Linked DNA regions of Oryzias latipes. The protein of the gene in region 1 interacts with the protein of each later gene in a pairwise test. Links are inferred from orthologs where the notes say so. Each region holds a gene or a part of one and is shown in the gene's direction. Other genes may lie near its edges.

The links. The genes of interacting proteins can lie anywhere in the genome.
Region 2: the proteins of pre-mRNA 3'-end-processing factor FIP1 (region 1) and prmt2 interact in a two-hybrid assay, tested with the Homo sapiens proteins (2 studies listed by BioGRID and IntAct). The link is inferred for Oryzias latipes from reciprocal best matches to the Homo sapiens genes FIP1L1 and PRMT2.
Region 3: the proteins of pre-mRNA 3'-end-processing factor FIP1 (region 1) and cpsf4 interact in binary tests that used the Homo sapiens proteins (3 or more experiments, as listed by UniProt). The two-hybrid records come from large-scale screens. The link is inferred for Oryzias latipes from reciprocal best matches to the Homo sapiens genes FIP1L1 and CPSF4.

The regions. Positions count from the first base shown.
Region 1 is NC_019859.2:11,136,760-11,147,452, reverse strand, and holds the start of pre-mRNA 3'-end-processing factor FIP1, read left to right. Parts: upstream 1-4,656; 5' UTR 4,657-4,859; coding exon 4,860-4,938; intron 4,939-5,307; coding exon 5,308-5,365; intron 5,366-5,821; coding exon 5,822-5,891; intron 5,892-5,986; coding exon 5,987-6,099; intron 6,100-6,810; coding exon 6,811-6,872; intron 6,873-6,980; coding exon 6,981-7,091; intron 7,092-7,396; coding exon 7,397-7,527; intron 7,528-8,537; coding exon 8,538-8,656; intron 8,657-9,330; coding exon 9,331-9,430; intron 9,431-9,539; coding exon 9,540-9,696; intron 9,697-9,789; coding exon 9,790-9,871; intron 9,872-10,579; coding exon 10,580-10,632; intron 10,633-10,693.
Region 2 is NC_019879.2:19,641,960-19,652,596, forward strand, and holds prmt2 (protein arginine N-methyltransferase 2), read left to right. Parts: upstream 1-767; 5' UTR 768-1,012; coding exon 1,013-1,117; intron 1,118-1,194; coding exon 1,195-1,389; intron 1,390-3,416; coding exon 3,417-3,578; intron 3,579-4,134; coding exon 4,135-4,299; intron 4,300-4,441; coding exon 4,442-4,617; intron 4,618-5,996; coding exon 5,997-6,126; intron 6,127-6,202; exon of another isoform or gene 6,203-6,215; coding exon 6,216-6,352; intron 6,353-6,435; coding exon 6,436-6,610; intron 6,611-6,702; coding exon 6,703-6,735; 3' UTR 6,736-6,811; downstream 6,812-10,637. Other genes in the region: zinc finger protein 436-like, read right to left, coding at 7,353-8,399. UniProt on the Homo sapiens protein: Arginine methyltransferase that methylates the guanidino nitrogens of arginyl residues in proteins such as STAT3, FBL, histone H4. Acts as a coactivator (with NCOA2) of the androgen receptor (AR)-mediated transactivation.
Region 3 is NC_019866.2:19,276,503-19,286,901, reverse strand, and holds cpsf4 (cleavage and polyadenylation specificity factor subunit 4), read left to right. Parts: upstream 1-767; 5' UTR 768-1,082; coding exon 1,083-1,185; intron 1,186-1,342; coding exon 1,343-1,393; intron 1,394-2,389; coding exon 2,390-2,542; intron 2,543-2,629; coding exon 2,630-2,725; intron 2,726-3,543; coding exon 3,544-3,637; intron 3,638-3,733; coding exon 3,734-3,806; intron 3,807-3,907; coding exon 3,908-4,066; intron 4,067-6,184; coding exon 6,185-6,253; 3' UTR 6,254-6,573; downstream 6,574-10,399. Other genes in the region: atp5mf (ATP synthase subunit f, mitochondrial), read right to left, coding at 6,799-6,827, 6,905-7,021, 9,006-9,113, 9,602-9,617. UniProt on the Homo sapiens protein: Component of the cleavage and polyadenylation specificity factor (CPSF) complex that play a key role in pre-mRNA 3'-end formation, recognizing the AAUAAA signal sequence and interacting with poly(A) polymerase and other factors to bring about cleavage and poly(A) addition.

The DNA.
Region 1 (10,693 bases):
TCTCAAACTCAGCATGAATCTGGGTCAAACGTTTAAATCTGTGACATGAAAATGTTTCTGTCAACAACATATTGCTCCACCTGTGCTTATATTTTTATGCACACCTGTAGTCTTTTAATATTCCTGAAACTGAAACCAGTTTTAGGTGACAATGGCATTGCATCAAACTCCCTGGAGAGGGGATTTGGGATGTTGGTGAGGCAATAGCAAACAGCTTGTTCTATTGTTCTAAAGCTAATAAAACGGGTCAAAAAAATACTTCTCAAGGTTTTAAGTGTTGACAGTGAGGGTACTTTTTCATAAAACAAAAAAAAAGTTCTCAAAACAACACTTTTTCTCACACTGATGTTCAAGGGAAGAAAAAAATATTAAGCGAAAACCACTTTATTTCAAGTTCTCAAATCTACATTACACCCTATTACAAAGATGCCTTCATTCCATTAGCAACAATTATCTCCTGCTGTGAGGGACCGGCTTGTTTTGTCTTGCAGCAGATGGATCTTTGTGTTGTAAAACAAAAGGTGCAGAAAATGGCTCCATACGCTGCAGCAGCATCACACTGCTGAGATAACCGTATGTTTGATCCACAGAGATGATGTGGATTGAAATACTGCCAGCATACATATGTGTGGAAGCTAATATCGGCGTGTGTAATTACTGATAGCCCAATGATCGCCCTCTGTCTGGATAAACCTGATTAGCATCGACTAGGCTGTAAGCCGCCCTAATCCACCGTAAGGAGGGAGGGATCCACACGGGTGGGGTGGGAGGAGGCTGGGGCGTGGAGCCAGCAGCAGACACAGACAGGGTGGCACACGGGGTGAAGGGGAAAGCATATAAAGACAAACAGTCTGCTGGAGAAGGAGAATAGTACAAAACAATGAGGGAGGAGGAGAAAATGTGATCCAGAGACATTAGGGGCTTGAAAACATAAAAGCATGCTTTAGAAAAAGGTCACATTATGCTAGGACAAAATAAAATACATCGTTTTTATTGTTTATTGATGTAAACAGATTGCACAAATCCTTGTTAGATAGCAGTAAATGTCATAATTAAGTAGAACCAATGGGATTTATTAAACAGATAAAACAATATCAGTTTAAAATCACAAAGACAATCAGGACTAAAACTCTCATGTTTCTGTAATAATCACCTTAGTTAATTATCCTCATGGATCTCCGTTTTAATGATGTAGTTTGGATATCCTTAAAGCTACAGACACAACGGGCATGTGATGAGAGTTCAAGAACGTGTTAAACGTGGGTTCTTGAACTCTCATTTAGCCTACAGTTTCACACTGAATGAACAGGGAGGGGCTTCTTCTTCTTTGTCTTTTTTTGTTACTGTTTACTAGCTCATGTCCGCCGCCTGTTGGAGCTTGGTGCGAAATGTCGAAGCGGTGCAAATCTTGCTCCAGGCTTTTTCTTTCACAGCTTTGTTCTGATTTATCTGGAAGACTTGGTGTCATTTTGTTTTCTGACAGAGCAAAAACGGCAATTATAAGTTTCTTCTCCTCTGTCAATTTTGAAACGTTTGGCACTTCGGGGAATTCAAGGGGACGCCATCAATATGTTACCAAATCCGAGTACCTAATTTGTCAAAGTTCAACCTGGTTTAACTTTCAATAGTCACACGTTTGCACGTGGAGCCTGAAAACGGTTTTAGAAACATAAATAGCTACACGTGAACACAAGCGTTTTTAACCCGGAAGCCCAAAACCCATGATCACATAGACTTTTTATTGGAAGTGGCTGCTTGTACGCGTGTTGCTGAGCCTGTTGGGAACGTAGCTTTAGAAAAATAGTTGCAGTGACTCTGACATGAAAAGCCTGATCGTTGTGGCATTTCAAATGTGAACTTCAAAACTTATATTACAAATGAAAATGGTCATCTTCAGGGTCATTTTGATCTCAGCTTTCTGCTGGTTATTTTGCATGCGTGACAAAATACTGTGAGCTGTTGGTTTTCGACAGTCTAATTTGCATCAACAATGCAGTTGACGTTTGAACGACATCCATGGTCCCATGGAATTACTATGGCTTCAGGAAAACCACAGCCATTTGTTTTAGAGCACAATTAAAACATTGTAATATCTGCTAAATGTTTTTACTGTCTGTCTCCTCAACAGAAGCTTCTAAAGAAGTTTCTAAATCTGATCCCAAGCTTTCTAGATACAGAAAAGATTTCCAATCAATTTTATTGTAGAGAAATCAGGCACAAATTGAAAAAGAAAATTATATGAAAAAAGAAGAAAAGAAAAACTAGCAGCAATGTACTAAAAAAAACTAAACATGTTGCTTTTGCTATAGCACAGCAAATAATAAATGTAGCTCCCAAGGAGGTAAAATGTGTAAAAATAATGGTTGATGTTTTTCTCAAGGTAAGATTTAAAACCATTTAAAAGCTCAAATTCAGAAATATTTAAAAAGTCACAAACAAACGGCAATAATTATGCACTATGCCCACTTGCATGTCCTCCATATCTATTTTTAAAATTGTTCCAAGTTGTCTTTTAATTGTGATTATGTTGTTTTTAGCTTAAATTAAAAAAAACATCAGTTTTTTCTAGGACATATTTTAACCTCTAAGTTTTGGCAGGACTATCGGCACAGAGCAACCCCACCCCCCTTCCCCTTCCCGTTGCTGAGAGTTCGGAGAAAGGAGCTTGTGGCCTTCCCAGCATATTTTGTAATTCACAAATACAATCCTTTTCAAATTACTTTTTTTGTGTGCTCCTGATTTACAAGAATTTGAATAAAGAAATTCTCAGAAACGCTATTTTTTTTAGCTTAATTATCTTAATATATGTTCTCATCCATCAGAAAAAGGCCATAAGGTGTTCAAAACATCCAAACCCTGAGTGTGTCTTTAAGTCTTACTGTTGTCCCTGGACATTTTTTGTGGATCTTCTGCAGGGCCTTTACATGTTTGCTGTTTTCATGTGTGCAAGGCTGTGATGAAGCTGCTACACATCGTGAGGAGGTCACATCAATGGACTCCCTCCTACACTCCCGTCAACCAGGATGCTCCTGCCAAACAACTCCGGGGCTCGCTGAAACCTACGCAAATGCTCCTGCACATAATTAACACACAGAAAACACAACAGTGTCACAGTGACTAACAGAAAGAAAGTCACAAGACAGCCAGGAACCAAACCAACTGCTTTCACACTGCAACAAGACAATGGTTGTGATGATGCTGTACATCAAATGAGCAAAATGGATAAAAGATGGAATTTGAAAACATAAATATAAGAAATAAAGATGAAAGGTAATGAAAATCAACAGCAAAAATAGAAACCAATGAGAGAAACTGGAGAAGAGGGAGAGAGTGAGTAAAATAAATGCAATTTCTATTATCAGTTTAACGGACAGAGCATTAGGATCCCTGTCTAACGCTCTCTGGAGTGTAGGTGCATGTGTGTGCCCTTAACTGTGTTTAGAGAGCCACACGTAATTCTCACATATGATGTGATACAGCAGATGCTGGTGATATCAAGCCCTGGCTCAGATAGAGTGAGGAAAATCAATACAGCTACAACTATGATGTTACCACCTTTCTCCCCCCCTACCCTCACACTGAAAAAGTGAGGACCACAAATTGTCTCCTAGTGATTTTTTATTGCAGGCCAATCAGTGCATATGTCCATGTTGTGCATGACTGTTGATGTGAGCGCTGCATTGAGTAAGTGATAGCAGAAAAAGGGGAGAGGAGAGTGAAAGAATCCAAACATTTACATTAATTTGCTGAAAACCTAAAGAAGCCCTACTCAACTGGCCATAAATGCATTAACAGTCCTTTTTACATTAGCAAACACAGTGGGAATCTTGAATGCTTCTTGATGCCATAAAGTGGTTGAAGTTGCAAGGAAGTGGGGAAAAATAATAAATATATTATGGCTATTTATAAATTATAAATAAAATAAGAACTTTTTAAAACAAACATGTATTTAATCAGAAACTTGGTTCAAGAACAAAACTTTGCATCTGTGTTCATAATAGCATTTAATGCAAGAGTTGTTTTTTTGTCCCCGAATCTAGAATCACTTAGTTTCCCCAAACTTTGCAAGGTAGAACTCATTGATGTCATGAGTAAAAGTTGCTCTCATAAGACAACACTTTTAAACTATTTTTTTATTTTGTTTGTCACCCATCCATGATACAAAGTTATAGTAATATTATTACATGTAGTTTGTATGATCAATCTTCCAACTCAGCTCAATCCATTTCAGGGTTGCAGGGTTGCTGGAGCCTATCCTGCTAACTATGCGGCGAAGGTGGGGTCATGTCAGTCATGGGCATGTAGTAGATATAACTTAGTTTTTGATTTTAAATAAAGTAAGTTTAGTCAGTACAAAAACAAAAAGTTGAATCCCAATTCTGTCCTGTTGGCCTTATTAATGACCCAAATAGCTGCCATCAGTGCAAGAAAGTGCTTTTCCCCTCATCAAGTGCTATATAATTGCATACTATTTACTATTTTGAAAGTAAAATTGCTAGAGTTTTTTCAGTTTCAAGCTCTGAAAAGTGTGTGGGGTAAAAACTAGGGCAACCGACAACATTAAAGGTTTTCTCTCCATTGGGACACATGGCGCTAAATCATCCACTCCAGTAGGGGGCGCTCTGCTTCAGTTGTACACCGTTGCTGAGCTTCTGCAGGACATTCTCCGGAGTCTCTTCCGGGTTCACGACTCGTAGACGTCTAAATGGATCTGAAAGAACCCAATTCATGCGTATATTAATAAAAAAATAGCGTCCTCCGAAAAGTAGGACTTTGTAATAATTCTCAGTGGTACTCTTTTGTTGGTGGTTTTTCGTAGGGTCTCGCTTATACTTTCAGCTTTTCTGAGCTGGGCGAACATGTCTGCGGAGGAGGCGGACAAAACGACCACCACCGATGCTAGCGCCGGGGACGAGGAGGAGGAATGGTTGTATGGAGGTAAATCAATTAACTACAAGGAAATGCAAGTGTCGCCTAAAATGACCGACATAAAAAACAACAAAGTAATTGTAGTTGGTTTAACTTCAAATTAGACTGGAAGGTAAAGCAGTTTAAAAAGTGCGCTGTCTGTCTGTGCTAGCTGGGTAGCTAGTTAGCAATCTGCGCTTTGGCCTTAAGCAGAAAGATGACTTAAAAGCAAGTTATAAATATATATTTTTTTATTATAATTATTATGAGCTTTACATTCTTTATCACTCTGCCATGCGTGTTTTTTCTAGGGCTTTTGCGTACACAGTCAATGATATCAAGTCATATTAGTTTACATGTGTTGTTATCCGCCCGGTGATAATTAATGTTTCTTTTCAGATGAGTCCGAGACCAAAGAGGAGGATGAAGAAGGAGCAAAGTTAAACACGGATGTCGGGTAAAACACAAACACCATTGAATATCATTTACAAAAAGAAAAAGAGAACCATTTTGATAATTTAGGGGAATTTTCCCAAAACAATGACTGTTTTACATGTTTACATGTACATGATGTAGCCGTTTAGCAGAAGCTTTGCGTGGTCTTTTTTTATGTGATAAATGCTTGTAAAATGTGGGTGTATGAATTGAATTTCTTTAACTTATGTCAGGTAGGTGAACCCTTAAGTTTGATTAAATTCTAAATACATTACATCAAAACTCAAGACTTTTTAGCTCTAAAACTTTGATCGGTTATTTCATTTTCCAGTTAAACATCTGACATAAAATTATATCATTAGTAAATCTCTTAAAATAAACCATCATTGTGGAAATTAGGACAAATAAAACCAAGACCTTTTGTTGTTGTTATAGAAAGCTTTACAGCATGTCTAACAGTTTATTAATAAACCTGCAGTGCACCAGCTGATGCTCAAGCAGAAGATGCTGCTCCTGAACATGCAACAGGAAACGGAGTTGCGTCTGAGGTAGCCTGTTTTTATTTGTTTCTCTCCACCTGTCTTTTTTTCCTGCATCTTTACTAAATTGGAGGCTTTTTTTTCTCTTTTTCCCGACATTTCAGGCCACTGGTGAAACTGCTGGTGAGGATGTAGAAAGTGACAGCGACAGCGATGATGACGACGATGACGTCCGCGTTACCATCGGTGACATTAAGACCGGAGCACCACAATACACGTAGGTTTGAGTCCAGTGGAAATATTTACAGTTTCTCGTAGTAAATGTTTTTGTATGAAGCTGTTTTCTTGTTTTTAATTAATGGCAAGAAGAAATGTTTTGTTGTTTTTCGTTTTTTCTTATCCTTTTAAGTTCTAACCTTTTTTTTGGCTTCAGATGGCTTTATTGTGGAAAAGACACCGGTGTCAGAAGGTGTTACTTTTGATTTTGGACTTTCAGCAAAACACAGGCAGAACAGAGATGTAAAAAAAAATAAAAAAATCTCCGGTTTCCTTCCTGCATCTGCTGGGTTTCTTGTTTCCTGTCAGGCTATGTTGTTGTTTGGGGACATAGAGATGTCTTCTGAGTTGACGTGTTGGAAGTATTTAGTGACCCTAACTTTAGCTGTTAATGTTGCATAAAAATGTGAAGGCTTGAATTTTTGAAACAATTTCTGTATTCAATTTTATTCCATAAAATTTGATGTGGTTTTCTTTTTTGAATTAGTTTTAATGGACCTGAGTGTTTTTTTTTTATACAGGTTGTAAAAGTCAAATGATCTTTGGTTGCAAACCCAGCAATAATCTGTTGAATTTTAGCGATGGATTTGTGATTATTTATTTTACAGTAACTGAATAATCGTGGTAAATGTATTCATGCCAAAAAAAACCTGGCCTGCATTATTTTTTGTATTTTATTAGATAATTAATAAGTATTCTATTTTTGTTGCAGGACTTACGGCACTCCACCTGTTAACCTCAACATAAAGTCAGGCTCCAGACCTTATGGACAGGGTGCGTCTCCAAGCTGTTGCAACAATTATTTTCAGTTGTGTTTGAACAATATTCCTCTTCTTTCTTACTTTGTAAGCATTCAGCAGCATTTATTTTGGTTATTCTCAGTGTCTTCAAAGCTGAAAGGGGTGGATCTTGATGCACCAGGAAACATCAATGGCGTCCCGGTGCTGGAGGTGGACGTGGAGTCCTTTGAAGAGAAGCCCTGGAGGAAGCCAGGTTTGTAAAAGTCAAGTAAAATGGTTTTAGCTATACTTTTTAGGGTTATTACTGTCTTTACAAATTAAAAAAAGATGGATAAATGTGATGCAATAAAAACAATTTCGTCACTATAAAACATCAGCTCTGCCTTTTTTTTAGATGAAAAGCCATTGATAGTCTTTAAATATTGTAAAAAAAACAACATAAGGACTAAAGCATCTTTGGGTATTCATTTTTATTTTTTTAGACTTTCTCTATACTTAACGGTCTTAAAAAGGTAGAAATATCATCTTCAGTCACTGAAAGCGTCTTTCTGTGTGCAGGAGCGGATCTGTCCGACTACTTCAACTACGGCTTCAACGAGGACACCTGGAAGGCATACTGCGAGAAACAGAAGAGGCTGCGAATGGGTCTGGACGTCTCGACAGTCGGATCTGTGACCAGCAAGATCACTGTGAGACACAGCTATGAATTGTATTCCTGTTCTTTAGCCCACACCCTTCAAACTCCGGCCATACATGTAATCAGCAGCAGGTCAGGCGGATTTCTCGAGAAACCGACTGGATGCTTGAGGCCTGGAGTCTGACACCTCTACTTTAGCTCAAAGCCCTGATTAATCCAGACTTTCATATTTATGAAACTGTTCTTCCTGCTGAAAGGTTTATTTTGATTAGATATTTTTAAAAGCATGAGGGTTTCGTATTTTGATCTAACCTGAAGAACAAAAGGTTTCATGTTTATTGCGTTTTCAGTCTGTGCTGTGTGGTTACAGTAGCTAAGATGTTGATTTAAGGCTTTGTGGTGAATGAACATCCATCCATCCTTCCTTGATGGTAGAAATCTCTTTCTGTAGACCTGTCAGGGTTTTCCTCCTGCAACCTGTTAAACTATAAAACCAACGGCTTCTTGCAACACCAGACTATAAAGCATCTTGTCTAACAATGTCAAGAGCCCGAATAAGATTGATCACAATGTGTGTTTGTGTGTAAACTTATAAAGCAATAAATCTAGCTGAAAGCTGCGCCGGATGCCCTGCCTGTACAACGTCCTTTACAGAACAGATAAGAAAGTGGATGCAATGTGTGTGCTCTCCACAGGAAATTTGTTTTAGCATTTAGTGTGTTAATCAATGGCAAAAAGAAGAAGCAAAAACTAGTTAAATGTAGACAAAAGAAAACATTTTTAAACATTTTAAAGGGACAGGAAAAGCTATCTGCTTTCATTTTCCTTTATGCATCTTTTTACCTGTATTCATCTTCATGCATCAATGACTCAGATTTTTCTGTTCTACTCTAAATATAAAAATCTTCAATGTCTTAAAGTGTAAATCCACTGTCTGTTCAATACCTTAATCTGTTTTGGCTGACAACACTAAATATCTTCTTCTGTAATATATGTCAGAGTAGCTTAAAGTTCTGGTAAAGTAATGCTACCTTCATCATGACGGTTGTGTTTTGTGTCTAGGTGCAGCAGGGCAGGACTGGCAATGAGAAGGACATCTCCAGCTTACCTGTTCACACGTCTAAGACAGACTTCCCATCTCCAATCAGTCTGTACAAGTCTGCCATCGGTCAGGTCGCCAGGTAACACCTTCCTCTTTTTCTTCTTCTTGTACCCAGAATTTAGATTTCTTGTGACCGTAACACAAACTGAAGACCGTTCTTTCCTAATCCAAAGTAGTTTTAAGAATTTAAATGACAAAATTTACTTTCTTTTTAAAATATCTCAAGGTTATGATCTAAGATTCAAAATATAATGGATTTTATGGATAGTAAAGATAATGAGGAAAATAACAGAATCAGATATTTTTTCTAATCATTGTAGTCAGAGAAATCTGTCCAACTGAAACTCTGCTGTTGACATTCTTCTGACTATTGTAGCTCTTCATCGGATTCTGAAGGAGAGAAAAAAAGCAGCTTTTCCGCTTTCATGTTACATTTTACATTAGTAATATACTGCATATCTGTGCAAAGCTGATGTGAAAAGCCGCTTTTCTCTGAGTCAGAATCAGCTGATTCCCGTTGATCGTGTCAACGGTAGAAGAGTTACGGTGCGTACAAGAACGTGTGTTCTGCAGGCGTCACCGGGGACATCTCCCGTGTAACAAGTTTAGTGCAAGAAGTGATGAAATTTTATGGAACATTTATTTAATTGAAACTCTTTTAGTTGGTGTTGTATTATGTTTTAACATTTTAGCTGTTCCAGGTTGTATTTAGGTGGTGCTTCTTTGATATTTCTTGATATTTTTGATTTCTAGGAAATCAAGTGGGACCATAGATGTGATTGGTGGACAGACTGCCACCATCAGCAGGGTAGAAGGGCGGCGCAGACACAATTTAGATGGAAACAATATTCAGGTGCAGAAAATGAACGCTTGAAAAACATTTAAATAAAATAAATGAAAAGTCTTCTGTAAGCGTTTCATTTGCTCACTAAGGACCTCCTGTTTGCTCTGCTGCTCCACAGGTGATCTCTGAACACTCGACGTCAGACACTGAACCCGCCGCTGCCAAGATTCCCACCTTCTTCCCACCTGGACCAATTCCTCCGAACATACCACCACCCCCTTTTCTTCCTCCACCCCCAAATGTCAGCACTGCACCTCCACTCATACCCCCACCCAGTCAGTTTCCTCTTTTCTTATTCTCCTTTATTTATACATCAATGTTTTGCATTAAGGGAGTTAACTCCATCCTCCTTGTTTTCACATCTTAAGGATTGCCCATTACTGTGCCTCCTCCTGGATTTCCTCCTCCAACTGGTGGTCCTCCTCCTTCTATAATCCCCACTATGGACAGGTAACATGCAGACACTCATACAAAGTTGGATGTGGAACCACTTAAAGGGCACCTTAAAACTAGAAGAAGTGTCATTTCAACGATATGAAGTTAAATATCAGAAGAAAAGTTCACGTCTGTTTATGGAATCTAAATGTTTTGCTGCTGATGCTGCTTCTGATTAAGATGTTCTCTGTCTAAAGGGAAAACTGACATGAAAAAACAGAAAGTTAGTTTTTTTTTTTTTTTTTTTTTTTTTTTTTTCAACTTGTCCTGTCCAACAGCTGGGCAGGCAGATGAGAACTGAGGGCCTCTTGTGTTGGACATATTTTACTTTAACAAGAGGGGTTATTTTTTCATACAGGTAGCACTGTCAAAATGCATAAAATGATTTTTTGAACCAAACAAAAACTGTCATGAAAGTAAAACACAAATCATCCAGCGAGAACAATAAATGCAGTAGAATTTTTTTATTACATTTTAATTTAAAATAATAAAAAACCTTACTAGTCTGCGCAGGTGATGAATTAAAACAAAATGTGCTTAATTCTGAAGAATAGAAGGCATTAAGGAACTAATCCTTTTAAAATAAAAGTTAAAACAAAATTCTTTTTTTGCTAATTTTACCTCAGAATAAATACATAGAATTTTTATTCGACATTTAATTTAGTTTTTCATAATGGAGGCACAGCAGGATCTCTCAGATGTAATTTCTTGTTTCTTCCGCAGCCATGCTGGAGGTTATGACGGCCGCTCTGTTCCTCCATATCCATTTCCTCAGGGTAAAACTCCACCCTACCCCCCCAGCTGCACTGCAGTATTTAAAAAAAAATAGTCTTTTTC
Region 2 (10,637 bases), on another chromosome or scaffold:
TTTAATGATGTATAATTGTTCTTTTTTATGAGATGGACAGTGGGTGAGGCCAAACATAACATGTTCTAAGTACAGGTGAAAGTCTGGGTCAATGTGGGTGGAAATGAAATTAAAAACTTTAGATCATAGAGTAGTGGAAAAGGGACATGACCAAAATAAATGTACAGCATCTTCAGGGTGTTCTTGACCAAAAGAACAGGTTACATCAATATCTTCTTTGAACCTTTGCAGATATAGTTTGGATGGGTAAAATTTATGGACTAATTTAAATGAGATTTCTTTCACTTTATTGGTTAAAAAGTATTTGGGAATGGATACAACATCCTTCTGAAAGAGTGAGTGTATGCAGCGATTTGTGTTACATGAAGAAGAAAAACAAATTTGGCCTATTTCTAATTTAGTTAGGCCAATTGGTAACAGAGTTGGACTCCACAATGATGAGCTTTTGAATAACGTAGTTATACACTTAGGAATTGCTTTCAAAACAATGTTAAACTCCGTTTTAGGTAATTTGATGCAATATTTGAGGCAGAGTTTTTCATGTGACATTAAAGATCCGTTTGATTTAAACAGTTGATGAACCAGAAGGATGTTTTGAGTAAACCAAGATGGATAAAATAAGGATTTATGTCTATCTGATGTCTTTGCTGTTCCATATCTGTGTGGAGAAAAAATGTGTTTGTAAATGAGTGACCAGGAAGGTAAGATTTGTTTATGGAAGCAGGAAAGCTTTATTGGGATCTTTACCACATTATAGTAACAAAATAAAAGAAAGTTTATGGCTCCCAATTTGGAGAAAATGTGTTTAATTTTCTTTAGCTTACAAATGTAGACATTTCCGGGAACCAGGAAGTCGCATAGTGACGTCATACCAGGAAGTGTAGCCAGTACCAGCGCTACCCCGAGTTGCACATCTTTTCTTTTTTTTCTTTTTTACTACTTTTTTATTTATTTAACATTTTAACACCGATTTGTATTCAATGTAGTTTGATTAAAATAGGCTGCTACGCTGATGGATCGAAAGAACTTTGTGGATATGGACACAAAGAAAGAGGAGGATGCGTCTCCTGAAGAGTGGGTCGCGCTGTGTGACTTTACAGGAAGCGGCTCTGAGCAGGTTAGAGAACCCGCAGGCGTCAGCCTCGCATCTGAGCACCCGCAGCCCTGAATAACCTCCCCTCTCTCGCCCCGCAGCTGAGTTTCTACACAGGAGACAGGCTGCTTGTCCTCTCCAAGTCTTCTGCAGACTGGTGGTGGGCGGAGCTGCAGGGGGTCACGGGTTATGCTCCGGCCAGATACCTGCGCGAGGACACCGCCGATGAGGAAGAGGATGCTTCTATAGAGGACCCGTGGCAGGATGAAGAATACTATGGAAGCTACGGGACACTGGTTAGATATGTGAACGTGTTTTGTAAACATAATAGTTACTTTTTGTTTACTCTAATAGACTTTCCCTCAAAAAGGCTTTAATATTATTTATAACAAAGAGTACAGCATTAATTAAAAATAATCAAATTAGACAAACATCCCAGCTAATTTAGGATAAAACAGTTTTTACTTCAGCTGATGGAAATCAGAAGAGGTTAAATTATTTTTGTAACAAATGTCTCTTTGCTAGTGAAACTTAACTAAAGAAAGCATTATATAAAAATATAGTGTCTTTTAATGGAAAAAAATGGTTAAAGGCATGAACTTGAAAGTTTATATTTAAGTGTTAAAACAAAAATCTCAATTAAGTTTTTGTGTTTTTCTTTGAAATTCATCATCAAAGCTTGCTAAGTATCTTAAGACTAGGGGTCTGCAACCTGGGGCTCCGGAGCCACATGTGGCTCTTTTACCCCTCCATTGTGGCTCTTTTACCCCTCCATTGTGGCTCTTTTACCCCTCCATTGTGGCTCTCTGGTTAAAGAAAAATTACAAGTTTTTATTTTTCAAAAAGTAAGTAGAAAAGTTTAAAAAAATAGTTGACAGTCTCACAAGTCAAACTAAAACATTATGACAGAAATGTGTGTTCTATTGAAAATGAATTTGAGGTAAGTAATCACAATCAGAATTAAGGTGCACCAGGATTAATTATGATTTTTAAAGGGTTACTTAATTAGCTCTGATTTAATATTTGTTAATTAGGTCTACAAATTTTTGACTGTGATGCCCCACTAACAGTAAAATAATCTTTTTTTTTCAAATCACCGCTTACATAACACTTCCTACTGCTACATTTGCTGCATTGAGATGATCTTTTGTGACACATGGGGTATCTTACTTTGAAAGGGAGTCATACGAAACTTTGTCAAAAGTTAGAAATTGTTTCTTATTTTCAAAAAAAGGCTATTTTTTCATTTTATTTCATTTATTCCAAAAAACAGGAGTTTATTTTTAAAAATCATAATAGTGATGATAACATAAATGCAAATGTGGTTCTTACTCTTGTAAAGATTGAAATAACACTTTGGGTTGTCGTCAGTAAAAAATTGACCTGAATGGCTCTTTAAGTGTCAAAGGTTGCAGACCTCTGGGTTAGACAAAGAAATACATCAGGGGAAAGTAATCTAAGTTATTTATCTTCCTGCTCCTCTCATCTTATATCTTTATATTATTTAGGTTTTACACTCACTTTATGAATTATTTATTTGTTTACACAAATTCAATACATTTAGTATTCATACATTAACATATCCAACTAAACCGATCCCCTACTTTGGGTATCTTGCAATGTCTGACGATATCAAACGGCAAAGTCAATCAAAACAGCAAATCATCAGCTTTATCTAAATTTTTAAAGTGTTTTAACATAATTAAAATTGAAAAAAGTGATGGATGTTAAAAGCTAAACTTAATAAAACATATTTAATAAATACCGTAGTTCAATAAAAACAGCTCATGCCACAAATAAAATCCATAGGCAATCTAAACCTTTACAAAGACTGCAATCAGACCAAATAATGTTTTGTACAATTATGCTGCCTTTGCTCAGAGAGAAAAATAAATCTTACAAAAATGGTCAACAAATTGCCTTCCCAAACAAACCACAGCTGAGACCCACCCTGTCTATCTATCAAGCAGGAAATGCAGCTGATCTGGTGGATTTTTAAACACAGCTTGTTTGCATCCCTAACATTATTATAAAAAAAATGGTCCCATTTAAATAGATGCAGTTCTTTGCAGCAGGCTTGAGCTATTAACTCGAGTCTGACTTACTGCTGCCATATAAAGTTGCTGTGTCCACCTATGCTAGCCCACTTTGTGAAAACACTGAACCTTTCTCTCCATCTTTTCCTCGAAGGAATAGTGAAGGCCCAGCTGATCAACAGCAAGCAGGACAGGTGTGGTTGAAAAAGCAAGCAGGGCGGGGACTCTTTAGAACCAGGATTGGACATGAACATCTCTCTATTATTCACTTATTTAATATGTTTCAGAAGCTTCACCTGGAGATGCTGTCCGACCGGAGCCGCACTGAAACGTACAGACAGGTCATTGTCAGTAACAGCGCCTCCCTGAGGAACAAGGTGGTGATGGACCTCGGCTGTGGGACGGGCATCATCAGCATGTTCTGTGCTCAGCTGGCGAAACCCTCAGCGGTAATGTTAATAGGATGTCACATACAGTCAGATACATATGTATTCCACCACACTGCACTCTAAATATACCTTATGTAATATACGGCAAACACTTTTTTTGCATGAATATAATGCACACTCTGCTTCATTTACAGAGAAGCAAACAAGTACTGGTGGAATATTACCAATCAAAGTGAACTATTATTTCTATCTACATGGGAGGGAGGAGACTTTGTTAGGTTCTAAATATTGTAGAAAATGTACTGTTAGTTGGTTCAGATTTTATGTAATTCATACAACATACAATATATTAGACCAACATCTGTTTTGTTGTTAATTTTTTTACTAAATTCATTTAAAGAAGGACAACTTTATCCTAAAATGAGAACACTACTAATATCATGCTATTCTAAAATTGTTCTTAAACTTCTGTCCTAAAAGACTAAACACTAAAATAAGTCATAAAATCCTAAAAAAAAGAACAGTTCCTGAGATAATTGTGGTAATACTCCCATCTGCTGGTGAAGAACTTGCATGGACAGTTTGATCATGTTGGAAGCTGTTGTGTGTTTTCTAGGTGTATGCTGTGGAGGCGAGCTCCATGGCAGACTACACCGGACAGCTGGTGAAGCACAACGGCTGTGAGGACGTGGTGACGGTGATGAAGGGACGAGCCGAGGAGCTGGAGCTGCCCGAGCAGGTGGACGTCCTGGTGTCTGAGTGGATGGGGAACTGCCTCCTGGTAAAATGAACACCTTTAGTGCTGTCAGCGAACAGTTTTTTAGATTTCTGTGACGATGCCCGTCGTGTGTTTCGTCATCCAAGCTTGATGATGCTTGGTGTACACAGCAACTGTCTGGATTTGTTCCTTTTCTTGGCTCTAGTTTGAGTTCATGGTGGAGTCGGTTCTGGTTGCCAGGGACCGCTGGCTCAAAGATGGAGGTGTAATGTGGCCCTCCTCGGCAGCCCTCACTCTAGTTCCATGTCAGGCCAGAAGCTACTACGCAGAGAAAATGTCCTTCTGGGAGCGGCCCTATGGCCTGGACTTCACACCTCTTCAGTAAGAGTTTTGTGTCTGCTGTTGACTCCAAACTACACGGTGTCATAGTTAAAGACCCACTCCAATGAAAATAGTGTTTTTAACATGTTATTGTGGCGTCAAACTGATCATGCAGGGCACATTTAAAGAAAATTAAGCTCAAAACTGCAGTTTTTGAGTATTTTATTATTCAAACTGTTGCGAATCAGGAGGCAATAAAAAAAATGCTGTCTCAAAAAGAACTAATTTGTTAAGTAGAAAATACAGTTTGCAATTCACAAACTCCATTCTGATGCCTCCACTAGACAAATAGATCCATGAACGTCTTTGTTTTCCTCATCTGAGCTGGCATTTGGCTCAAAACCGTACAGCTGGATAGCTCCAATGTTGGTCGCCATTTTTGTTGCGTCTGTAATGTTAGGTCGGGGTTGTGAGGGGCTGTAAGCCAGCGGGAGAGCATGTTAATAATGAGCTCAGATATGAGTGATGGGAAGGGGGGTAGGGTCTCTCCCTACCAGCAGTCCCGCTCAAAACTCAGAGACTAATTTCAAATGTTTTTGTTTTTTTTCATTTTTGGCTAAAAACAGCATACGGTACTGATGATTTAAAGCCCGCTGTCTTTTACAACAGATCAAAAGATGATCGACTGTTTCTTTAAGCTATAACTTAATTATGAAGAGATGCACATCTTATTTCCACGAATTAAACACACAACAGGAATATCCTCATAGTCAGACACAAACAGCAAGGATTAATCTAAATGAACCTTTTTTGCCCTTTTATTTTAGGTTAAGAGCAAAATGTCAGAATGAAAACAGTTTTGGGGAGTCACGCTTCTGTATTTTTGGAACTAAAGGTTTGAACGTGTAAACATGGCAGACTACTATTTTAAAAAGCAACAAAGCCTCGCAATACCAACAAAAATTAAGTTTTTAAAAAATGTATTGGGGATCAAAATCCTGCTCTGTAGCTGGACTCATTTCTGTAATATTCCTCATGTGTGACTGTCACCTGTTTGTGTTGTGGCACTTGAAAACCGCAAATACTGTTAATAATCTTGTAGTTTGCTTGAAGTCTGAATTTCTCACAACCTCATTCTGGAACTTTTAAAAAGATAAAACTTCATATTTTAAATGCAGCTGACAGAGACAAGTTTACAACATTTCACACTTTATATTTGATTGTCGTTTTATGATCACTTTTCCTTGAGGAATTGTTGGACAATTATAGCAAGCACAAGAACTGAGAGTAGGGGTTTGCTTAAAAAGTTGTGATCATGTGTTCTTATCGACCACAAAATGACCCATCAACGGAAGGAAGTAGAAGTTATGTCAACCGTGGCAGCAGTTCACTTGTGTTTCCTCTTTTCCTTGGCTCTGAAGCTCTTTTCCTCTCTGCAGGTCTTTGGCACAGCAAGAGTTCTTCAATAAGCCTAAATTCAGCCACGTCATCGAGCTTAACGACTGTCTTGCTGCTCCGTGTGACGTGATCAGCATGGACATGTATGCCCTGCAAGTGAGAGACCTTGAGGTAATAAAGGTTTATTACTACATAAAAGCCTGTGATGTAACTTTGCAGGTTTTTTATTTTTTTGACCCTACTGAAGTTTCATTTATCAGGAAATGAGGGGGGAGTTTCAGTTTTCCGTGGAAACGTCTGGGCTCTTCCATGGATTCACAGCCTGGTTCTCTGTTCATTTTGAGAGCCTGGAGACCGGAGGCACAACAATAGAGCTAAATACTGGGCCAAACTCAGAGTAAAACAAATAAACAACAATTGTATTTATATTCTGAAAGCCAACATACGGCAAATAACACCTAATTTGCTGTTTCACGGCAGGCCGACCCACTGGAAGCAGACTCTTTTTATGCTGGACGAGCCGGTCAGTGTGTTTTCTGGAGACTCCATCACCGGAACCATCGGCCTGCACAGGAACCCCATCTGGAGACGGCACATGACCGTTACTCTACAATGGAACATCCGCGGCCAAACTGAGGAGGCAGACAGTTTCCAGGCAAACGTCCCACAGTGCACTCACCCACAAACCTGCAGTGGCACATTTTACACGAGCTTATTCACTTCTTTGGTTTTTTTTCCTGTCCGTAGGGTGGGAAAAAAAGCTTCCCAATGTGGAGGTGACAGACTGAACGTGACCACCAAGAAACGGTCTTCAACTCCATGCTGCTGCACAGAAGAGCCCCTGGCGGGACATCTGCAGTTCATAGGCGACAAACAATAACAGTAGGAACAAAATGCACCAACTCAGACTGAAGTTTCATTTTATTATGACAAGACTTGAGGTGAAAAAAACTACAGTACACTTTTATGGTTTTCTTTTACTCATCTACTGATGCACTATCAATATTTACAGTGTCATGTTGTGTGATTTAAGAAGACCTCACCTTAACTTTCCAATCTGAGTTTTTTGTGACTTCTATCTCGGTTTTGTCATCCCATGTTTACAACTTGAGTCAACCAGGAAGTTTCTGATTATTGAAAAACTGATTAAGCTTATCCCTAAATGTTTTTTCAGTGAATTTATCATTTTCTGTTCACTCAAATCTTTTCCTGGGTGTTTCAAAACGTTGACCGTGCTTGTAACATCTCTAATTTAGTGTCATGAAATAGCGGAACAATAAAAAATACACTTGGTTTTAAGTTGTGTCTTCTTTGTCTCAACAAAGTCAAATATTCAAAAATGTTGAAAGAAAGTGACGACTGTGGAGTTGCTGCACATCTGTCTTTGTTTTGTATCCTTAAGTCTCGATCTTAATCTTGGTTTTGCTTTTGGAGCGTGTGCTGACCTCGGAGGGGGAACCCTGAGAAGAGAAGCCCTCAGGAGAAAGTTGCCGGGAGATGGGGACGAAGAGGGGGGGTTTGACAACTTTCCCTTTCACGTCCTTGTTTTTCTCCTTTTTCTGCCTCAGGTGTTTATCGCAGTGGTTCACAAATGTATCCAGCTTGACAAAAGTCTTGTTGCAAACCTTGCAGTGGTAGGGCCGCTGTCCTTTTTTCAGGCGCACGCGCAGCCGGATGTAGGAGGAGCGCACAAATGTGCGACAGCAGACCCCACACTTCAGATCCTCGGCGCTGCTTTGCGCCTCCTGGGGCTGGCTGAGCAGAGGGGCAGGGGCGGCTTTGGCCTCCCCGGAGGCCTCCTCGGCTTTGTGAGAGAGCAGCAGCGACAAGGAGTGAAACGCCAGGCCGCACTTCTTGCACTTGTATACCTTCTCCTCAGTGTGCAGGCGGACATGCGCCAGAAGCCCGGCCTTCTGGGTGAAGGACTTGCCACAGAAGGTGCATTTAAAGGGTTTCTCGCCAGTGTGGAGCCGGCGGTGCGTCTTTAGGTGTGAAGCCCGGCCAAAAGTCTTCCCACAGTCGGGGCACTTGAACGGCCGGTCTCCACTATGGATTTTCTTGTGGGCCACCAGGTGGGAGGACTGATGGAAATACTTGTTGCAGATGCCACATTGAAACTTCCTCTCTTTGCTGTGGGAGGCCAGGTGAAGAGCCAAATGGGCCGATGAGACGAACGTTTTGGAGCACAGGCTGCAGCTGTGCGGATCCAGGCGGATGCGCCTGTGGGGTCGCTGTCCATTGGGGGGGCTGCTGCTGCTGCTCCCACCGCCGCCCGCCTGGCAGGACGGGCATTTGGAGGGACCGTCTGTTTTACTTGACGGGTGCTGGGAGGAATCGGAGGCGGTGGAATCTGGAACGGGGCCCGGCTGAAGTGGGATGAAACTGCAACCACAGTCTGAGCAGAGCCCAGAATGCTGCGCCTTCTCACTGGTTTTCTCCAGCATCCTGCCATCTACAGCGTCTTACACAGAGGATCTGAGAGCGGAGACAAACACATCATGATGGTTCAAAGATGCAGAGCATTTCTGCGTCCTCTCCATTTACTGGATGAGAGAACTGGACAGAGCGAGTGTGACATCACCCAAAGACAATGACTTACTTCTGCCTCCAACCAAATTAAGTCAATTCAGTCGTCATTTTATTCGCGGCACGAACGTCGGCACGTTGGAAGCAGACGCCAGTTAACAGTGATTGGTCCGAGTCAACGTTTCTATGGCAACCACTCTCACCAGCTATGAGTAAGTCCACTGAAAGTGGATTTGGGAGAATCTGTCCAACATTTCGAATGTTCAATGTGAGACCACATACTTTAATTGAGGCATCTGATTGGTCCGTTTTTAACCTGAACACTAGCGATAAAAACAATGTCAAGGGGAAATAATAGGATTAGCAAGTAGATGTTAAATACAGGTGACTGAATAATAGCTGTTTATTTCTCAATAAAAGTCTATGGGATTTTGGCTTCTTGGAGACTGTGGGTACTTCCTGTTTGGAATGTAAAGAGGGTGGAGTCACTCAATCCAGTTCTTTTTTATTATTATTATTTGTCTGCAAGTTATTAAGGACATGTACCTAGTGTAACATACAAACATGTCAGAGCAAATCGAAGAATAAAACTGTTTTACACCCGACAACAAAACAATGAAGCAAAACATAATTTAAATAGAGGTCTGGTAATTTGAAGTAATACATTTTAAAACTTTAGTCTTTTCTTTTAAATCATTTTTGATTATGCATTATTCTGTAGGGCAAATATAGGATGTTTCCTGATCATTTTCTTTTCTGCATATTTTGCCAAAGTCCAGTACCCCCATACCATCAATGGTCCTCTCATGCAAACCTGATTTATGCATCTTTTCTTCTGCGGTACTTCCTGTCTATGTTGCGTCCGCGCGCTTTCACTGTGACACAACTCGTTCTATGGATGTAACACAGTTTTAACCCAGACATGAATATTTGAAGGGGGAAAAACAACGGCTTACTTAGCAGCTGCCGCATGAACGGCAGGCCCCGCTTGGCTGCGAACAAAGCAGAGGATGAGGCTCCAGAAGAGCAGAGAGACGGCGATAACCGCCGTCTGTGTCAATTAAACAACGAGTCTCTGATTTGGAGGTGTTTGTCCAATTATAGTGCACAATAAAACAAAAACACGTCACAATGGCTGCATTCATGGGGCTCGGGGAGCTCGTATTTCTTCGCTTCTGTTTGTGTTTTCATGGGCTGAAAGCGGACAGCAGCATCTAGCGAGCGGCGGTGCAACTTTCACGCAGAACAGAAATTCACGACCTCGTGCGCTTTAACGAGCGACTTCCGCTCATCTATAAGTTTCGTTTTACCCAGCCCGGGGTAGTTGGACGAAGCTGGTTTCAGGTTGGACCATTGTCCGTTATTTGCCAAATCCTGATTTCACACGAACATGAAACCTTGAGCTTATTCCAGAAACCGAAACAATAGATAATTGTAGGCTGCATGTTGTTCTCATCCATGATTTTGGCCGGAAATCTCTATAAAGAAAACAACCCTGTCTACAGTTTTTTTAAGGCCGATATTATTTACAAGTAACCTGCGACTAAGCACAAATGTATGGAGGATCTTTTATGCCATTATTCCAAATTATTAAGTGCAAATTATTTTACATTTGAAATAAAAAAATACGTGCAAACAAAAGAATTGTACTCTTGAAACTTATAAATGTATACTATAAAAAAACGGAGCAGGGCACTGTTACAAATGTGCCACAAAGCCAGCCAATCACAGACATGAACATGAAAGTTGATTGACCGTCAGTATTTTAACCACTGACTGTATAATATACAGTCAATACTGCCATATCCCTTGTGCTATCTTAGATGACCCCACCCTTACATTGACATGGTCTCCCTACCATGACAAAGGTGGATAAATGTGGAAAGATTTCATGTAATCCATGGACACCAGTGAAGATCACAAATCATTGAAGTAAAAAAGGTTCATCGCACTGTCTAGTGGGTCTAGATGACCCAACTCCCAATGTTAAAGTGCCTAGGATAGCACAAGGGATAAAGGTCAATGCTGTAACCCTAACCCGCCATAGTTATGTGTGAAGAGTCACTTACTTTTTTTTCAATGCTATCTACCTTTTTGAGTATAGGCATGGATGAAAACTTTTCTTGTTTGCCCATTGAAACGTTCAGTTATGAAAT
Region 3 (10,399 bases), on another chromosome or scaffold:
CCCCTTTATTTTATTTTCTATTATTTAAAAAACTGTAATGTCCAATCATTTTTACTTTGATTTAGAGTTCTTGTACAGGCATCTAAACCAACAATTACATGTTTTTCCAAATTCGAACTAATAATCGAACTTGCAAAATGTCCAATCTATTTTGTCAAAAGCCTTTTCAGCATCTATGTATTGAAGTATTAAAGTATTGAATACTGTTTTTTTTTTCTTTTTCCACTGTAGAAAAACACAATAAAAGCTTAGAAAGCTTATTCTTGCTTAAACATGTCATATCATCATGCTTCCAATGATTATAAAATGCTGAACAATTACTCATTTCTGAAGCGTCGTGTTTCACCCTAAAACCAGCAGATCACAACGTTGTATTAGAGTCTCTTATGCAGTCAATGGATCAAATCATTTGGTTGATCATACCAGACTTTGAATGAGTGATTTTTTGTTTAGGAGAGGGGTTTGCAGTGATGAAGCATCAAAAGCATTTTGTATTCATGATCTGGTGTGTGACATGCTAATCTCTGAATTGAACTTTAACCTGTTTTTTGTTTATTTTTATAAATAATTGGACATGGAAATGCATACACGAGGTGCAAGTTAAGAAAAATGATCAGATGCACATACGTGTCCAATATGTCTAAACAATAAAATAGTAAAATAAATGAAATTTTCATTCGTTTTTGGTCATTTGCCAGAGGCAAAGTGTCAGAAATGAACAGGTTTGGTTAACTCAACGGTGACATCACTCGACTTGCTCGACAATCGTTTAGATCCGTCTGAATTCGTCAGGTCAGAGGTCAATGTGCGCGCGTCCTCAAACAGAACCTCTGTCGATTCGGAGACAAAAATATTAAGTCATGTTCACCTGTTTGTTTGGAAATAGTTGATATAAGGACTTCGGTGATCCTTACCTTATCTCATTGTTATCCTCTGCTCTTGTTGTTTCGCCTGGCTCGCCCCGTTAGCCACTTTAGCTGGCTAATGAGGGAATCGCCGGCTAACAGTTTCGACATTAAGCTATCTTAGCTTAAGTTAACCGAACAAGTCTTTGCTTTGAAAGCTACCAACTCAAGGCAAACATGCAGGAGCTACTAGCAAACGTGGATCACATCAAGTTCGACCTGGAGATCGCTGTGGAGCAGCAGCTGGGAGCGCAGCCTTTGCCGTTTCCCGGCATGGACAGTAAGTGCATGGATGCTAGCTTATGCTAATGCTAGCATCTTTTTTTGTTGAGAATAACCATAGTTTTTCTCAGGTTCGCCCTCTTTGGTTTCTGTTATTTTTAATAGAAACAACACGTTATAATTGTCAGTTCAGTTATAATGTTGTCTTTTTGCAGAGTCCGGCTCAGCTGTGTGCGAGTTCTTCATGAAGGGAACGTGTATGAAAGGTAAAGCATCTACAGTCAGAAGCATCTGTTGCGCTGCTATTATTATCTGCATTTAACAGTTTTAAATGTTCAGAAACGTTTTATTTGGAAGGAAACTGCAATGTTTACATGTTGTTGGTATCGTTTGTCATTTTAGTACGTTGTAGGCGGGAACCAGTTTACTATAACTTTTTTATTACAGAAATAATAAACCGCTGAAAAAAAGTTCTTTGATAAACTAAAGAGGTGGATACAACTATTTTTAAATATTTTTCTTTCATTTAAAATGGTTAATGGTGATTATTATTATTTCTTTCTGGATATGTTTGGTAAACTAAGTAAATTTAAACTTTTTTGTTTTCTTTGCAAAAGTTTGCTTTGAAATAATTATTCTTTAAAACCTTATTTGCATTCTATTGACAAACGCTAACTTGTAAAAAATGTTTAAAATAATTTTTAAACTTTATGAAATAACTCTTTAATAACCTTATTTCCTTTTTCTTAAATAATGAGCCAGAGCTTTAGTTACAAACTACTGCTGTTTGTAAAATCCTGATTTCATTTTTTTTTAATAGATGACTTACACTGATTAAGATTTTTACAGAATTTAGTTGGGACATTTGCCCGTTCGTGGCTTTCACTGTCGTGATGTTCAGTTTACCTTTTACAGCTCTATATTTCATTAACTTCTTGTGTTTTATTGTGATTTTCTGTATGTACTCAGTGTCACACTAAGGCAGACATGAGCAAAATACGGCTAAAAGGTCTGGATGTAATCATTTATGTAATCATTATTGTCTGGCCTTCTTACTTTTTATTTTGTCCTGTTTATGTGCACCCTAAAACCTGTTTTACATTTCTGGGGTTACAAAGAAGGCAGTTCTGCAGAGACTTTATTTTTAATCGTATGTCTATATTTGTGTGAGGTTTTGGTGGGTCACGCTTTCATATAAAAGTGAGGAAAACGATCCCTGCATGTGTCGTATGAATCCACAAAGCTGTGTCTGTGTCTCTCAGGTGGAATGTGTCCGTTCCGTCACATCAGCGGGGAGAAGACGGTGGTGTGTAAGCACTGGCTCAGAGGGCTCTGTAAGAAGGGAGACCAGTGCGAGTTTCTGCACGAATACGACATGACCAAGATGCCTGAATGCTATTTCTACTCAAAGTTTGGTGGGTTCACTTGACTTCCTCGTTTAAAACGCTTTCCATTGCTTAGCACGCAGGTCTGATAGATTCAAACTGTGTGTTGGCTCTCAGGTGAGTGCAGCAACAAGGAATGTCCCTTCCTGCACATCGATCCAGAGTCTAAGATCAAAGACTGTCCTTGGTACGACAGAGGCTTCTGCAAACACGGTAAGGTCCAGCCCAGTGTCAGGTTTTCGTGCTCTGGATTCGTTGTAACCCACATTTTTACCGTTTTTATTTTTTATTTGATTCGGAAAGAGGCTTTATTTTGAAAAATTTCTGAATTCTCCCCACCACATCTGACTCATTCTTGACACATAACAAATTGCTCAGTGACGTGCTGACAAAAACGCAAATGTTCCTGGAAAGTTTTTTTTGTTCATAGAGCATATTAAGTGAGGAAACAGAAGAAGAGCCTTTATCTTCAAAATACAAGAAATCTGCATTTGAACAGACAAAAACCAGGAGTCTTTACTGCAAATGTGGATTCATTGTGACAGTTGTTCCCACACGCCATAACAATGGGGCATCATATTCAGCAACCTGCTGTGTAATGTTACGAGGATGTTTGCAAATAACGTTGCTGAAATGGTTTATTAGTATGTTTAGAAAATACAATTTTTAGACACAATTATTTTTCATATTTATCTGTCCTTAAAAGTCAGACGAGGCTGAAGTTGGAATTCGATTTTTGTAGCTTCCACTTTGACAGTTATGGATTAACGGGCCTGTATCCTGCTTTTCTTAAGCCTTTCAGGGTGAACTATATCCATAGAAATACAAATATTTTACAGACGATGAAGATAAACTTGACCCTCAAAAGTTAAAGGGAAACTGAAGGCAAAGATAAAAAAAAGTTGGTCGTCCCTTTCAGTCTCATACAGACTGCTGTGTGAAAATATTGACTGTTCAATCAGACCGGGGCCTGAAAAAAGTTGGGAACCACTGATATAAGTAATCTTCATTTTGTTCTCCTTCCCCACTAGGTCCTGACTGCAGACACAGACACACCAGAAGAGTGATCTGTGTGAATTATCTGGTGGGCTTCTGTCCAGAAGGCAAATCCTGTAAATTTATGCAGTAAGTAAACATTTCTGCTTTCAATAATGGTGTAATTGGTTTGGGTAAAGTTCTGAATGTGAGCGACATCATGTGATGATAAATGTTCCTCTGCAGCCCGCGGTTTGAGTTGCCTATGGGAACATCTGAACAGCCCCCTCTACCACAGCAAATACAAAACCAGGGAAAGGTGCGAAAATGGATCCAAGATTCAGTACCTGCAAGTGCTTCAAGTATTTCTGGGCTTCAATGGGATTTTTTTTACAGCTCTCTGTTCATTCTCTGCCACAGACTGCAGCTTCCAGCGGACGCTCGTCTCTTTCTCTCATCCAGCTGACCAACTCAAGTCCAGGCCAACGCCAGCAGAACAACACAAACATCATTTCTCATCAAAACAACATGAATGCCAACAGAGGACCCCGACCTCTCGACCAGGTCACCTGTTACAAGGTGAGTCGCCTGAGGCTCTGCTCTTGTTCTGTCATTGTTCTGCAGTGAGGAACATTAGCAGTTTAACATAAATCAGGGCTGTAATGTCTGTGTTTATCTTACAGACAAAAAATAGAATTCAGGACTCTCTGTGGGTTCAATCTGTTCGGTTTTATTCTTCAGTTTCTCTCCGACATACAGTCCCAGTGCATCACCAACTCTTCTTTGGAGTCTCTCTCCACATCAGTACCCTGATGCTCCACCTACCAGTGCCCTCTTCTGGTCATTTCTAACATTACAAGCTGTTAGCAACGTTTGACAGGGGTGCTCATGACGTCGAATGCGATCGACCGGTCGATCTTCAAAGACATGAGGTTAGATAGCAGGCCAGCAAAGACAAATACCGAAAAATAAAAAAGTGAATTAAAAAAATCCATCAGCAAATCAAAATCCTCACGAGAAGTACGGCACTTGATTGACATGGAGAACGGCCAATCAAATATCCTCAGACACATACGTCACTGCACGTGTGTGTTTAAATACACTGCGCGCAAATTCTGTCATCAGATAGTCACTACTTTCCCCGCGCAAAGTGTGAGCAACCCTGGTTTATGACAGGAAATGTTCTCCTGGACATTTGTGCCATCACCAACTATAATGCAAACTCTAGTATACAAAAACATTTCCAATATATCAGAAATTTTATTTAATTCATAAATGGCAGGTGGACGGCAGCTTTTTGAAAACCCATTTTGGCATTAACTCAAAAAGTGCTTTCATAACAATACTGCGCAAGGAAAATAAGTCGAAATAGTGTTGTAACTTTTGGGGTCACAGTAACAGAGCTGGGTTAATGAAGCCTTTCCTTACGCCCCCATAGGGAAAACAAAGCTCATTGGAATTGTTTTTTCAAATCCAAAAAACATGTATTTTCAGCTATAAAATCTGCTGTCACAGATGTTAAATTAAAGTAATTTTGGAGCAGATTTTTCGATAAATGAAAACGGTTTCCTTTTAACTGATTATTTAAACTAAACAAAGGTGCAACTTTCTGAATAAAAATTACATTGATTTTTTTTTGTTTTTTTTAAGCTACAATAGAAATTGCCAAAAAAAAATTGGTAATGGATTTGATTAACTGACAATGCATATTAAAAATAAAATTCATTTTTTTTTAAGTAAAGCCCTAATGCACAATTTATGAAACTTGAGGTTCACAGCTCCTCCCAGAATGTAAAAGATCAAGTAATAGTTGAGGCCATATCATGCTGGTTTAAAGACCCACATCGATGAAAACAATGTTTTTGGTGTTTTAAAAAATGATTATGGAAGACAAAATTGCATTTCTGAGGTTTTTTTCAGGATGGAGAACAGTTTTCTGAGAAAATACAATGGGCGGGCCACAAGCTCCATTCTGATGCATCCACTGTCAGACAAATGGATTCATGAACATCTTTTTGTCTGAGCTGGCATCTGGCTCAAAACTGTACAGCTGGATAGCTCCAATATTGCTCGCCATTTTTGTTGCAGCACTAATGTTATGTTGGGGTGTGAGGGGCTGTAAGCTTGCAGGAGAGAGTGTAAATAGATGGGTGACAGGAAGTGGGGGTGGGCTCACTCTGCAGCAGTGGTCCCACCCCCAACTCAGAGGAGAAATTCTAATGAACTTCTGCTGCACTGCAGAAATTATGTCTCGGAAAACAGTTTTGTTTTTGTCTAAAAATGGCATAATCATAATGAAAAGACCACTGGGAATGCTTTTATTATAGATCAAAAGATGATCAGTGTGATGATCAAGTGTTTAACACTTGTGCTATCTTAGATGACCCCACACTTACATTAACGTGTTCTCCCTACCATGACAAAGATGGATAAAGGTGAAGATTTTAATGTAATCCATGGACACCAGTGAAGATCACAATAAAATGAAGAAAAAGGGTTCAGAGCACTGTCTAGTGGGTCTAGATGACCCAACTCCCAATGTCTAAGTGCCTAGGATAGCACAAGGGATAAAACCTGAACTTTCAAGTTTAAATTTGCATTTTGTGCTACATTGTCTTTATGAATCATGTATTTCCTTCTCTGATCTTTAATGGTTAAACATTCTGAAATAACTACAAACTGTTATCCTGTCTGCAGTGCGGTGAGAAGGGCCACTACGCCAACAAATGTACCAAAGGCCACCTTGCCTTCCTGAGTGGACAGTAATTTGGGCTGCAGTGTGCTGCCTCAGGAGATGGAAGGACGCCCTCGTCCTCACGGTGAACAGACTTCAAACTTTCTCCTGTGGGAATTCACACAGACGAAACCTGATTTTTGCAGGATGTGGACGATAGAAAAGGTTTCAGTTCGAAGTCTGGACTCAAAGATGTGCGCTTTAAAACGATAGTTCCAGTTCCCAGCCTCTTTAAAGGTGCCATTGCGATTTTTTTTCTGGTAGGATTCTCGTCAGTGCTTCACTGAAGTGCTACTGTCTGTAATTTCCTAATAAATCTGAGTGATGACCCATAGTGGGGATGTCAACACAATCAGTGTGTGTGATTGAACACTTGAAACTTGTCTTTTCAGCCATTGTCACACACAGACTGGAAGACGTTCCTGTCAGAACCACTGATATTCAGATCTATTACTAAACAAACTCACTGGAACATGAAACTGGTATTGTCTTTAATTGGTCACATTAATACAACAGAGCTGAGCATAGAAGCAGGAGGTGCCAGGATGTGACGGTTCACCCCGATGGCTGCTGGGACTCAGTGGTACTTCCTCCAGCGATCGTGTTCTACCAAAAAACAAGATGTTCAGCAAATCTGGCAAACCAAACCAGGAAAAACGTAGTTCAGATGGTAAGAATCTCACTTATGTGGTCGTATTCCCACAAGTAGCTGATGGCCACGTATCCGACCAGCAGCATGGCCACGCCGCCAATGCCGCCCTTCTTCACATTGATGTACTTGTTGTAGTATCTGTCGTGGCCTGAAAGCAAAAGGAAAAACTGCTTTAAGGATTAAGAGTCTAGAGCTAAGTGTCTCTGATTTGATGATTTAAAGTTGTAGGGGTTATTTTTTTTTTCAAAGATCAAAATACAACAAAAGTGGGTTTGAAGTTTTTTTTATCGTGACAAACTTCCAACCTTTACTTTTAGACCACTTATAGTTTTTTCTTTTCTAATCTAAAGCTATTGGGGAAAAAGATCTGGTCTAGAGTTCTGTAATTTAACATCAAAAAACCGTAGGAACACTTTAGAGAGCAATCCAAACAATATTGACCAGAAACTTCTAATAGCAGAACCCATATGTAGACAAAGCCTACGGTGATCCACAGTTTACAACAAAAGCAAAAAAAGACATTTTAGTTTCCTTGAACCTGTTTAGTGAATTTGATCACTTTGACTGCAAAGCAGCAGAAGAGAGAAGAGAATCTGAAAAAGGAGATGAGACACGAAGAAATGGAACTATTTAGATTTTGTGTTCTGTAGCCATTACCATGACAACGCGGGACACCGCGTTTCAAAGAGTCCACAGGAAAGAGGAGCGCTTGCTGGTTTCGACTGCGCGCTAACATACAAGCAAAGCATTGTGGGATTTGTAGTATTAGTGGTACAGTATATGATATACATTTGTTATGATCTCACAGGCCAACTATAATTACACCCCGGGTGGGCCGGGCCTGAGTTTGACACATGGGCCTTACATAAGGAACGATGCTCGACGAGGTATGCATTATCAGAAAACAATGGACGATGCAGAAGCCTGACCATCCAAAGCGAAGTGAGATTGCTACTGTGAAATAAAGCATCAGTTCAGAGGGAAAGTTACTGCATGTTTTTGTCCAGATGATGAAGCTAAAGTTTGTTTCAAAGAAACAAAGTCTAAATTGTTCAATTCCCCCTCATGTCTCTTCCTCAGATTATTTTCTCTCTCTTCTGCTGCATCCCAGTCTTTAAAATGACCAAAAACCAAACAGGTTAAAGTAAACTATAAAATCACTTGTCTTTTCTACTGTTTTTCTGTTGGAATAAACTGAGGAATAAGTTCCAACAACCTATGTTTTTTTAAATGCGTTTTAAACATGTTAATAATTGAAACACCAACAGGCTTTTTGCGAAGGGGCAGTGCTATAGAACATTTGGGCCACATGACCAACATCTTTTCAAGGTGTCTGTTATTTCTGTGGTACATCACTTTTTAATCCACACCCTGCATCCACTCAGAATATTGTGCCAATTTGTAATTAATGGCGATTAATGTCATAATTTGGCAGCCCTACTTTTAACACTTCACAGCAACTTTTCATTTTTTCATCTGCTGATGCAAATACCAGGATTTGATAGGAGTTAAAACTCCAGATTAGGAAGCAGATTTTTATGTTCTACAGTCATGACTATTGGATAAAAAAATACAGGTTTGCACCTAAACCTTTGAAGAAAAATGGTCCCATCTTTAAAAGAAAAGGAGAGAATTAACACCATTCGGGATAGCTTTTTATTGGATCAATTGGTTTCCACTTTAAATGTGCCTCATCTATTTAGCAAATTTAAACAACCATCCTATTTGAAAGCTTAAACTTTTTTTATTTTTAAACAATTGTATCTTCCATTTGGTTCAGTTGGAATCACTAATTACTTTTTAATAATAAAGAAATGTTTTTAAATGACATTTGAGTGAATTATTACATCTTTAAATAGTAAATTAAATGGATTTAGTATTTGCCATTTTTCCATGTTGGTGTTTTGTAAAGCTAATGATCAATCAATAGGTAAACAAGTTTAAGTAAAGGCAAACAATGACCAGAAAAAAGAAAAAAGAAAAGAGCCTAAATGTCAGATTCTATCTGCGTTACAATTAGCTAAATTTGCCATGAAACTAATAAGACGTAAGGCTTGGTTTTGAGCGTAAAGTGTGTCTGTATCCAGAACTTTTCCGGGTCCCTGGACAGAGATAAGGCTGCAGTCAGTCACCTCGGCGGATGGCCTGCAGGATGCCGTTAGGGGTGAAGTCTCGCCCTCCCAGCCAGCTTCCCAGCTCTCCCAGTTTCACATCCATCAGGCGCTTCTCCACCACGGGAACTAAGGATGTAGAAACAGAACGTTTAAGCTCCAGGAAGAGTTTGAGCACCACCTGAGGAAAATCATGGAACCAAATCGCCAACATGCACTCATGAAACCGCTCTGCATGTATTGACATACATAGCTGTAAGTTAAGGGTTTAAGGCTAAGCGGCCAACCCAAAAAGAATACAACTGTTTAGCAAACTAAACATGTGAAACAACGACATTGAAAATGTTTTATTCAACCAGATTGTCTAAATATTGATTGATAAGCGCCGGATACGGATAACTTAATCGGTAGTTCTATCGGTGTCAGTGAGTCGAAGACCTTGAAATGAACCGGACGGTTAGCATGGCCTGCGTTCACCAATAAAACTCAAATGCGCTTCTCTTTCCGTCTTTAGAATAGCTCGTAGTCGCACTCAACTTTCACATAATCCATCTAAAATTCGTAATGAATGCAAACTAAAGAAACTCTCTCGATTTTAAAGGCAGAGGACATATTACCTGGTCTGTCCGCCATCGTGACCGGAGATCTGTTGCTAAGAATGATGGGAAAAATTGAAGAGGTGCATTATGGGTTCCCATAATGAGTTTTTTAAATTCGGCCACTAGATGGCGCCAGATGGCACATCCTCGTGTTTCCGCCAATCAGCTGTCATTCACTGTAAAGAACAGTTTTTGTTACTATTTCTATATTTTGTTTAAATGTTCATCTTTTTTTAAATGTATTTTTTTTGTTATTTTATTTGCTGATTAACATCCCCAAATCCAAGATTAGTTTCCTCTTAGCTTTTATAATTTGAAATATTAAAGAAATGAAATTTCATTTAGCAATTTTTGTATTTAAATTTTAAATTTCAGCTTTTTAAAATGACTGGATGAAAACCCAAATTTTCAGTTCACCCTGTCTGCAACCAGGATTGACCTAATGTTAATTTTCAAAAGTGTTGTCAAGATATTTTATTAGTAATGAAATGTATTTATTTGGTTTAAGATTGTCCAAAATTGAGTTGAAAATGTTCTAAAAAATTGGATCAAAAATTTCACAATGTTTATGTAAGTTGTAATATCATTTTAAGTTAAGAAAAATAGAAATTATGGTTGATTGGTTTGTATTAACATCTCTTATTACAAGAATTTAGATCATTTTATTAAAATTGTTTATTTGTAAAGTATAACCCTGAGAACATAAAAACTTGTGAAAACCTTGTTTTTATTTTTGTTTAGTTTTCAGTTTACATTTTGTTTTTTATGGTGAAATATTGACCATGTGGTGGGCTTTTCTGGATGTTTCACACATCA